Linked DNA regions of Kluyveromyces lactis. The protein of the gene in region 3 interacts with the protein of the main gene of each other region in a pairwise test. Links are inferred from orthologs where the notes say so. Each region holds a gene or a part of one and is shown on either strand. Other genes may lie near its edges. The genes, in order: ERB1, DBP6 and URB1.

Evidence for each region.
Region 1: the proteins of URB1 (region 3) and ERB1 interact in binary tests that used the Saccharomyces cerevisiae proteins (3 or more experiments, as listed by UniProt). The link is inferred for Kluyveromyces lactis from reciprocal best matches to the Saccharomyces cerevisiae genes URB1 and ERB1.
Region 2: the proteins of URB1 (region 3) and DBP6 interact in binary tests that used the Saccharomyces cerevisiae proteins (3 or more experiments, as listed by UniProt). The link is inferred for Kluyveromyces lactis from reciprocal best matches to the Saccharomyces cerevisiae genes URB1 and DBP6.

What each region holds. Positions count from the first base shown.
Region 1 is NC_006042.1:2,461,019-2,464,771, reverse strand, and holds ERB1 (ribosome biogenesis protein ERB1), read right to left. Parts: upstream 2,897-3,753; coding exon 521-2,896; downstream 1-520. Other genes in the region: CSM3 (Csm3p), read left to right, coding at 1-394.
Region 2 is NC_006042.1:665,344-668,640, forward strand, and holds DBP6 (putative ATP-dependent RNA helicase DBP6), read right to left. Parts: upstream 2,520-3,297; coding exon 627-2,519; downstream 1-626. Other genes in the region: SRB8 (Srb8p), read right to left, coding at 1-295; RSM19 (mitochondrial 37S ribosomal protein uS19m), read left to right, coding at 2,787-3,062. UniProt on the Saccharomyces cerevisiae protein: ATP-binding RNA helicase involved in the biogenesis of 60S ribosomal subunits and is required for the normal formation of 25S and 5.8S rRNAs.
Region 3 is NC_006041.1:1,618,516-1,622,276, reverse strand, and holds the start of URB1 (Urb1p), read left to right. Parts: upstream 1-1,366; coding exon 1,367-3,761. Other genes in the region: INA22 (Ina22p), read right to left, coding at 91-783. UniProt on the Saccharomyces cerevisiae protein: Required for 60S ribosomal subunit formation and pre-rRNA processing. Required for normal accumulation of 25S and 5.8S rRNAs.

The DNA.
Region 1 (3,753 bases), on a different chromosome or scaffold from region 3:
TGCTCATCAGGGACGAAATAGCTTATTTGTAACGGATGAATCTACCTCAGCGACTGACCGCGGAAATGCACAGTATGGTTATGAAGCCACCAAAATTATCAGCCTAGACAAAGACAAAAATCAGAATAATGACGGCAACTATGACGATGATGATGATGATGATGATGATGATGATGTTCTATATTCTTCGCATCACCAGCGGCACACGAATGAAATGTTGTCCACCACTGATACAAACATACGGCAACATACACAAAATGGCTACGCTCTGCCTAACGCTGAAGAGTTAGACGAATTGAGTAAAATTACGACCGTTGCCAGCACAACAAATAACGGTAATGATATCGCATCAGATGAGGAAATGGCAATGATGAGAGACATGGATACCTTTTGAGCTCTGATCCAAAGATAATAATGTATTCCCTTGAACACTAATTAGAAAGTATCTACTTGTAATATTGATAGGTAATGATGTCCATAGTATACAGTGTTTTACAAATATCCCGTCATGAGGGTTCTATCAGGTAGTCCACAAACGAGCGGTTTTGTCGGCACCTGCAGAGAATAGCCAAGCTTCACGTGGATGCCATATAGTATCTAGAACACCTAAACTATTCACAATCTTGTGGCCGGTTAGTTTCTTCAACGGGACGATCATAGGGTTCTTCATTAAATCGTCATAGACCGTGGCATGGAAAACATGGATGTTACCATCATCCGCAGCTGAGCAAAACAGTGGTAGTTTCTTGTGGAAACTTACGCTTCTTACAGCCTTCTCATGGTATCTCAAGGTCTTATATGGAGTGCTTGCAAGGTCAAGATCATGCCACAACACTCTCTTGTCAAACGAGGATGCAATTAAGTTATCACCTCTTGGGTGAATATCAATAGTAGATAACCAACGAGCACCAGGTAGAAGTTTCTTGATTAGCACTTGTTGCGATAGGTCATAAATTCTGACGTATCTTTGAGAACAGACCAAGAGCTGTGGCTTGAATGGATGGAATTTTGCATCCATAATGATACCCTTAGATTTTTTGAATGGCGATTGAGTTAAATGCTTGGATAATTGATGAATCAAAACTGATGTATTACCTGAGTCTGGTTGAACAGTGACAAAGTAATCACCTTTTCTATGCCATGAAAGCTTTTTCACTGATTTACGACAAGTTATTACGATACAAATATCATTGGCAGCTTGCCTTTCGGTTGGTTTATTCCATTGAGCAACCTGTTTCTTGACAGCATGTGATTCAGCACCGTCATCCTCATCATCGCTATTCACATTGAGATTACTCTTTTTGACGTTTCCGAAAGTATCGAAACCAAAACCGTATTCAATCTTTGATTTACCTGTGTTTTCAATTTCAAAGCCGAAAATTGGTGGAACAAGCAAGAAGATGTTTTCGCCAGCAGTAACCGCAAGGATACCGGTAGTACTGTCGGGATTCCATTCAACAACGTCTATGTGGTCATCATTGTTTTCTTCCGCATTAAGTATTGTGACTTGGTAAACTTCTCTACCTGTAAGAATTTCCCATACTCTGACAGTGCCATCATCGGAACCAGTAGCCAACCATAATCCAGTTGGATCAATGGACATTGTACGAATTTTTCCTTTATGACCGACATAAACGGTAGAGCAACGGATTGGAAATGGTCTCAAATCTTTTGTAGAGGGCAATTCTGGGATCAAAGATTCAGGATCAATGTTCAACTTATTTTTGCGAACACGAGGCGCTAAATACAAATCTAATGATCTTTCAAACCTTTCTCTGACAGATTCAGAGTAACCTGGAACTTTTCTTAATGCAGCGAATTTGTGAGGCACAAAATTTCTCTCTCTTTCACTTGGTTCCATCTTTTCCCATGCATCAATTTCCTCTGGGGTCAAAAGATACTCTTCCGGAGGGTTGTAAGACTCCTCATTTGTTGGTGGTGGCAATTTTGGGGCTCTCAAGTTCATAACATGTTCAGAGATTTCTTCGGCATCTCCCCAGAGATCGTAGTTATGACTGTCTTGTTCTTCTTTTTCTCTTAATTCCTTTAGTTTCTTTGGTGGGATAATTCTACCTTCTCTGATTGCTTTGACTATTTTCATCACACGCTTGGCTTCGTGCTTTGACGGAACGAAACGTCTTTTCGGTTCTGGGACGGCCGTAACTGGCATTACAGATTCGTGTCTAGTGAACCAGTCGATTAAAGGTTCGTATGGATTCACAGATTCGTCCGTCTGTTGATTATTTTGCAACTTATTGATTAATTCAAGTTCTTCTTCGGTCAAATTCAAAGAGGCACCGCTGTCTTTGTCTAGTAAACCTGTCCAACCCTCTGGCAATTCTATAGATTCCAATAATTGATCTAAAGCAGATCCTTTGGCTGGTCTCATTATTCTCTTACCATTAATGTCATAACCAATATGTGGCATTTCATCATATGCAGATAGTGGGATGTTACCAATTGTGTTCTTAGCTTCTGCATCACTATCATCACTATCATAAACAGGATTAATTTCTGACTTAAGAATTCTTGGTCTTCCATCTGAATACTTGGTACGAACAATGCCTTCATCGCTTGTTTCTGGAATCACTGTTAACTTTACATTTGACAATTTGTCGGTAATGGAAAAAGCATCGCCTTCTTCAGAAAAATCTGAAGTATTATACTCCTCCTCCTGTCCATTTTCTTCTTCAGCTAATAAGCGATTGAATTCAGCATCAGAGTCGTCATCTTCAGCTTCCTCAGCTTCATTTTCGCTAGCCTCTTCATCGATTAAACCATCAACTTCAATTCTTTCATCTTCAGAATCGGACAATTCAGATTCCTCGAGAACTCTCTTTTTTACAACAAGCTCCGCTGATTCAGAACCATTCAAAGAAGAATTCTTTCTGGCCATAGTTTCTGGTATTGTTTTCTGGCTCTCTATACTTTCAGAGCTTCTTCTGATGCCGTTAACTTTGAGAAGTACTGGTTATCTCTGTGGTCTATTCACTTCAGCTCATCTCATCTCATCTCTCAAGATGAAAATTGAAAATTTTAAGAAACAAAAAGAAAGAAAATTACGATACATTAATTACTTCTACAAAGTTTTGAACAAGAATGCTATTTTGAAAAAGTCAAAGTACCCTTCAGCAAAGATAGGGAACTGGTATTCAATCAACTCCACATATACTTCTACTTACGTTGAAGATATTTACTTTGGTCGCTAGCCTACAATGAATGTAATTCTTAACTCTTATTTTTTTTGCATCATAGACAGTTATCTTAGTTTTATTCTAGTAGATGCAACATCGTTTTCAAGTTTGTAATTTCATCATTGAAGAAGCTATTTCCAGTAAACTTCATTATTCCAATTTGGGGCGCTGATAAGAGAGACCTATTTCGTTTCTTCAGAAACTCTTAACGATGTAACATATACTCATGTAGTTCTCTCAGATCTTGTTGTGATATGCCTTGGATGATAGTTGATTGATTAATCGCCTGATGAGGGATCGTTGATATCAAACAATATAACGAATATAATATAATAATCTATTTAGTTAGATCGTTGAGTATATGCGTCCAACCTCCCCAAGAGGTCGCAACATAGCTCAGCCTTTTATACTCGACTTATATACTCGGATGGTCGTCAGACTTCGTCATGGCAACTCATTGCCTCCATGCCCTTGTAGGTCCTCTGCAGCTACCGTCCTCCACGCGCACTCAAGACCATCACGTGACCGTCTATGATCCATCTAGGCCATCCCTTCTGGA
Region 2 (3,297 bases), on a different chromosome or scaffold from region 3:
CCAGTGTACTTATCCTATTAATTTCTTGTTCTCGTATCTCAATAATCTTGGATAATTCATCTCCTAACAATGAGGAAACTTTGGGAAGTGATCCTTGTAAAGCTGAACGAGCAGAAATGGTTTCAAAGTTTACCCTAGAAGCAGTATAGTAGCCTTTTGCCACGAACTCTTTAAGTATCTTATCCTCCTCTTTGGTGTGAATCCACGGATCAAAATCAGGATAGATTTGTGGGTTGGAGTCGGTGAGCGGATGTAATTCCTCCGGAGGAGTTAGTAAATATTTTGACGGTGACATCAGAAGTATCTAGCGGTTATTCTCTGACTACTTATATGTGTTAACAAGCACTAGTTAAGACAGTTTAACCTGCCTAAGGTACTTTGAAGGTTTATAGTGTTTCAGTGATTCTGAACGATCAATCACATATCAATTTAAGGTAAAGAAAGTTCTAAAGTGGAGGAAAAACACTGCTCGAACAATAAATAACATGTCACATGATCAACTCATCAGAAGAGGCAAAATAGATAGTAAGTATAAGATCATTAGTGCCTTCTCAAATATCACTTAGACGAGCCCCAAGAATGGGGTACAGTTACTATGATCTTTTTACTTATTTAGTGATAATATGCTATTTACTGTCTGCTTCTTTGCTGGTTTGGAGTTGTTTGATACAACCCTTGTACGTATCCTTCAAAGTGTCTTCAATAGAGAATAATTCAGACAACTTTTCTTCGTCAAGGTAAGCAGATGGTTGATAACCATCAATGTCACGACTGAGGTCAGTGTCAATATGTTGTGACCAGAATTTCTGTTCACCCTTACCAACTAGAAGGTTAATTGCTATACCCTCAGTATTAGCCCTTGCAGTTCTACCACAACGATGAACATATTGTTGAGAGGAGATCGGTAGATCATAGTTTATCACATGAGTAATTTCATTTATATCGATACCTCTAGCCATTATGTCCGTTGAAATTAAAACTGATTTCTTTTGTTCTGAGGATGCAAATTCCTGTATTAGTTTTCTGCTACTACCCTTCGAGATGTTCGAATGAATTGATGAAAGGAACATATTATACTCATCTTCAATTATTCCTGATCCTAACATGGCATGTAATAAGCTTTCTAATCTGATCGAAGCTTCGTTACTCTTCACAAACACTAATATTTTAGCGTTTCTCGAAGCACTGCTCTTGATGTCGTGTATTATTCTTAGTAAGAGTAGTGGCTTGAACAGACTCTTAGCAGTAGGAATATTGACATTGAGTTCTTGCAATTTCTTAGGTATTGAATATAATTTAACAGAATCTGTGAGGAAGATCTTGGGGTTGTGGAGATACAAATTGTACAACTTTTCTGCATTCGTAGTCAAAGTAGCAGAAAAGACCATTTTGATTACGTTTCCTGGACGTTTATCCTGCTTATCGTTTGTCAAATGGTGGAAAAGCACTTGGTTCCAATTTTGGAATGACTGATTTAATAGTCGGTCTGCTTCATCAAGGACTAAGAACTTCAAAGTTTTTAGGTCAAATGATTCCATCTGCAAGTGATCGACCAGTCTGCCCGGAGTGATGATTAGAATGTCTGGAGAGTTATACAAAAATTTGTTGTGTTCTTCTTTCAAGGAGTTCTCGAGTTTCGACATTGATACATTGAGACTGGTCCCTTGACTTAGTTTAGAGAGACAATCGTAGACTTGATGAATTAAAATTTTAGTAGGAACCAAAATTATTGCCCTAACTTTATTCACTGTTCTAGATCTCAAAATTTGAACCAAAGGGACAGAATATGCTAAGGTCTTACCGGAACCAGTTGATGCGTTTACTAATATATCACCAACTCGTCTTGTGAAAAGTTTTCTGTTTGCTTTAAAAGATGAGTTTAGAAGCGGGAGCACTTTATCGAATAGAATGGTCTGAATAGGGAACGTTTCAGATGAGAAATTGGAGGTAATATTTTTAAGCAGACGTGCATCTAATTCACCTTCGTAGCTATCGAATTGTTTAACCATTTTACTATCGTAATGAATTTTGGTTGCTGCATCCCACGCAGTGGATTTATATGTAGACGGATCTAGAAGCTTCAAGGCTTCATTGGTCACTTTGGCCGGTTGAGGAATTGGGGTAAGACTGTGAACATCTTTCATGGATACGTCCTCATCGTGTACATCGTTGTCACTACTGACCTTGTCTGAAGCGCTCAACGCACCTTGCAGGGAAAGAGTCTGTTGAAATCTATTTAATACGGAACTGTGCTTTGCATCAACTGATTGCTGAGAAGTTTCTGTAGGCGCAACAGATGCAACCTTGTTTTCATCTTGCTCACTAATTGTATCGGAATCATCCTCACTGCTGGAAGCATCATCCTCACTGCTGGAAGCATCGTCCTCACCAGAGCCTTCATCATCAGTTTCCGCATCTCTTTTCCTCTTTTGGGGCACAGTGGGTTCTTTTATTTGTGTGACTTCAGCTGTTAGTACATTTTCAGTCACCTTAGTAGGATCAAACCTTGCAGCAAACATGTTATTGACTGGATGCTATCGTTATGCTGTCGCTATGCTGTTACTGACCTTCTAAATTCCTGAAGCTCATCGCATCATATTACATCTCATCGCCATTCGTCTATTATTTTATTTCAGAACGGAATTCATAAAAAATTTCAATCTGTAAAACTTGAAATAACGACAAGATATAATAGAGTTAAGTCACTACCATGATATCAGTCAGCCAAAGGTTCCAGCAGTTAGACAAATATCTCGCGTCTACGATAACACTCATAACGTCATAAAATGTTCCCGTCATTGAGATTACTATCACGTTCTGTATGGAAAGGTCCAAATATAGTCCCATTACCAATAAAAGAAGCATTGGCCAAAGGTACGCCCATTAGAACAAATGCCAGATCTGCCACCATATTACCTCAATTTGTCGGACTGAAATTCCAAGTGCATAATGGTAAGGAGTATGTCGCGTTTGAAGTGACAGAAGATATGGTAGGAAGTAAGCTAGGAGAATTCGTACCAACAAGAAAGAGATTCAGTTATACTCAAACTAAGAACAAATGATTTGACATTTATGAAAAGCACAAAGTTAGTCAGACAGCAGCATGTATATAAAATCACACCTGGAAGTTCATGTACCACCGTGTACTCCATACGTAACTGTATCTATTACTAAGAAATGATTTATTGAACAAGTGCTCTCGATTAATTGGGAGTTAATGGTGTTTCTCATTGTTAAATAGATGCAAATGTTAATCATAACGAGTACTATATATAATAATTGAAGTAAAATAGAATA
Region 3 (3,761 bases):
ACCATATATATATACATATATATTCATTTAGAAGTCATGTAAATGAAGTGAACAATTTTCACCAATTACAAAGATATTAGTTGGCACACCCTACAAAAATCTCTTGACTTTAGTTTCTTCTGCTGCGATGTTGTATTCACCAGGGTTCTCTACGATAACATGCTTCTCAGTAGAAGGTTTGAATGCTAATCTTTTCTGTTCTCTTTGTCTCTCATAATCTAGCCATTCCTTATCTACAATAATATCGTCAGAACCCTTCTTCATAGAATCACTATCTAATTTTTTCGTCGGAGCTGCGATGCTGCTATTTGGTTGATCGATATCTTTCATGATATCCTGAAAGATATCTTCCAGTGATTCTTCTTCAATTTGTGAATTCATGCCTTTTATTACCCTTTCACGATCAATAATCTCTTTGGCCGCACGTTCACGTATCATCTTAGCTTCTCTTTCCAAATCAACAGAATTACCCAGCTCATGACGAGCGAATAGCTTGTTAACTAATTCTAGTTCCTTCTCCGCATTGTAATTGAAATCGCCTTGCTTCGTACGGTCGATCAAATCCTGTAGAATCTTAATCTTCATCTCATATCTTCTAACCATATCAGCATGTCTCTGCTGTTGGGCTGAAACACTTGTTAACACAGATCCGAATATCAATAGTGAAATTAATGGTTTAATAGCTGACTTATCAAATCTGGACTTCTTTGCGCCGTTGGTTGCATTGGTTGCAACTTCTGAATACGCTCTTCTTGAGACTTTCAAAAACCTATGTGCGAACATCTCTCTTCGTGGATCCAATTAAACGATGTACTTCGAAGAAAAGTTAAAGATTTGACGAAGCTGTTCTGGAACTCTGGAAGTAACTCATCGATGTTAATCAATTCCAAGCTTTTCATTCTGTCAACCGATATTGTTTATATCTTTTGTAAAAATAGTACATAATTTGCATAATAAGCAACAATAAACGCTAATATCTATCCTTGAGTGACCTTATTGTTACATGTATCATATCCCAGCTATCTAAAGCAGCATATATAAGACTATGGATTGTCTTACAAGCAGGTGAGGGAATATGCAAGGTGATAAGTTACTATTAATTAATTATGTCACGTGAAAATCGCATGACGCCCCGTCATATTTGGAAAATTTGTTTCTTTTAGCGTAGAATGGAAGAAAAAAATGTTGATCAAGCTCATCGCATCGATTGGGCATATACAATCATCACTTTGTTTTACTAAAATCTATGTAAGACAGTAGCATTGGTTCATTTTAAAACTTCAAGAAAGTGTGCTGGTTTATTGTAATATATATAAGCCGTTAATATCTAGCGTTTTTTGAACAGAAACTACATTGTGTTTGCGCTATGAATAACGACGACGGCTCCATGTTAGGGACCAGAAAAAGGAAATGGAAACAGAACCTTCCAAGTGTTAGTAATGTGAGCAGTGGTTTATTTGATGACCTGCAGATTCTTATCAACGGTATTGATTTACTCAATGTTGATGTTTCCAATAATTACCGCCCTGTAGCTGAGTTTTTCCAAAAGGGACTTGCTGTGCAATGCACACAAGGTTGGTCATATTATGCACAGGTGAATGAACATGCTAAGTTTGCTGAAACTACTATAAAGCTCAAAAAACTAATTGCCATTTTGAATTCGAATACCAGTGTTGTGCAATACGGATCCGTTATTATCCGTGATATACTTAATAATTACTGTAAAGTTCTTTACAGAGGTATCAATAATCTGCGTCCTTCGATAACGAATTCAGTATTTGGGTTAATGACAGAGATTGTACAGTTTAATAAAGGCCAGTTCGTTGATGAATTTTTGTCATATTTCGATTTGACGTTGGTAGCATTGTTGAAGGTTTTGAATCCAAGAAAGCTTGATAACCCAGATATTGAAGCTACTAGGAAATCAACTCACATCTCTATGAGGTCCAACTTCGTTAAATTTTGGATAACACTAGTTAAGAACGCACCGGCGGTACTAAGGAAGGATATTCTCAGTGACAATCAGAAAATTATGACCGCGTGGGTTAAGAATATGGTTAAAATGGACTCTGTTGAACTTATCGAGGAATCTCTACATCTATTTATTGATTGCATTCTAAAAGAAACGAGTTTTAGGAAGATGACCAAGAGTAAGATTTTAAATGAGTTCGTTGTGAATAGGTTGCATGAGTTTTACTATTCTCCAAATAAAGCCATTGTTTCCTTGATAGATGAATTCTTTCAAATCTATGGTGGCGATACGGACTTTGGTGTCGTATTTACCGACAAAACTTCTTGGTTTGAGGATAGTTCAAACTTGAAGTCAGGCGTTCCTGTGGTAATTAACCAGAAGGTATTCAAGTTACACAACAAGTTATTATACACCACATTAACATTTTTTAAGCCATGGGAAGATGATACACAATGTAATACAGTCATAAAAATTTTAGGTAACGTCCCAGAGTTGGTGGCTCCTTACTCAACGTACGTGTCATCTATGGGATCACATGACCCAAAGATGACAGCTTATTGGTTTGGTATGACATTGTTTTTGGGTAGAATGATCAATCTTCCCATTCCAGAATACGTCGAAACAGTAGATTCTGATAGTCTTCCATCCACAACAATTGTCGTGGAGTCGATTATTCCTTCTACTTTAACGAAAACAGCTCTTACGAAATGTCTGCAAAACAAAGTAAATCTAATCAGACAGATGGGAAGTCAATTGTTGGTATTTTCATTGAAGAAATTGGATAAAGTGCTGGACTTGTACAACGAAAAGGGATGGGATAATTCAAAGGCAATGCTCTTAAATGCTTATTTTTCGTACTTGCCAGATTTACCCGTTTTGACGACAGTTTTGAATATCTTATACACGGAATCCCCAACTAACAAAATTTTACCTTTGTCCTTAACCGTTATCCTCAATTACTATAGTAAAATATTCCCAAACTTCTTCAACGTCAATTTACCAGCTAGCAACATATATGTTGATATTATGAAAAGTGATCAATTTTCAGGAATGGATTTGGTTATCCTTGATAATTTCATGAAGTTCCAGGAACTAAATAACTCCCAAATCAAGTGGTGGAATGCCTCAAATAACGAAAACTCTCTATTCACATCGCTTTTAAGGCTCGCATCTTCGAAAAACGCTTCATCAATCGTCACTTCTAGAATATCGAATTTACTATTCAATTTGGTACAGTTCAGTAATATTTTCAAGATGAAAGAGCTAATAAGTTCTCCAATTTCAGCTTTAATTAATAGTTTATCGCTTTTGTCAAGTACTGGTTCCTCTTTTTCCACCTCGGAGCACATGAAGATTTTGAAACTATTGGATGAAGCCATTTCTAGATGTCATAAGACTCCGTATAAGTATGTTGATATGGCAAGGCAATATGAGAATCTATCACCTTTCCTTTTGACACTTGTTGAACAATGGAAATTTGTCCAAATTGATAACCCAAAAGAGTCAGTTATCGTCAAGTGGTTACTTATATTTTTCAGAAATATGCTGGTGCTAGGAGAGTCTGAAGTAGGTATTAGAAATCTACTTTCTAACGTTGAAAGTATACCTCATAATCTTGTCGAATTGTACTTATCCTTTACTGACGAGATCATTAAGAAAGTATCATCTCCGGAATACCTTTTGTTTTCAAATGATTCAACTTCTAGCTATGATCACATTTTGTTGCAATATTCCCCGAAGTTAAGCAAAATGAGCAGATTCCCTGTGAATTCTTTTGATGTAGCTGCTA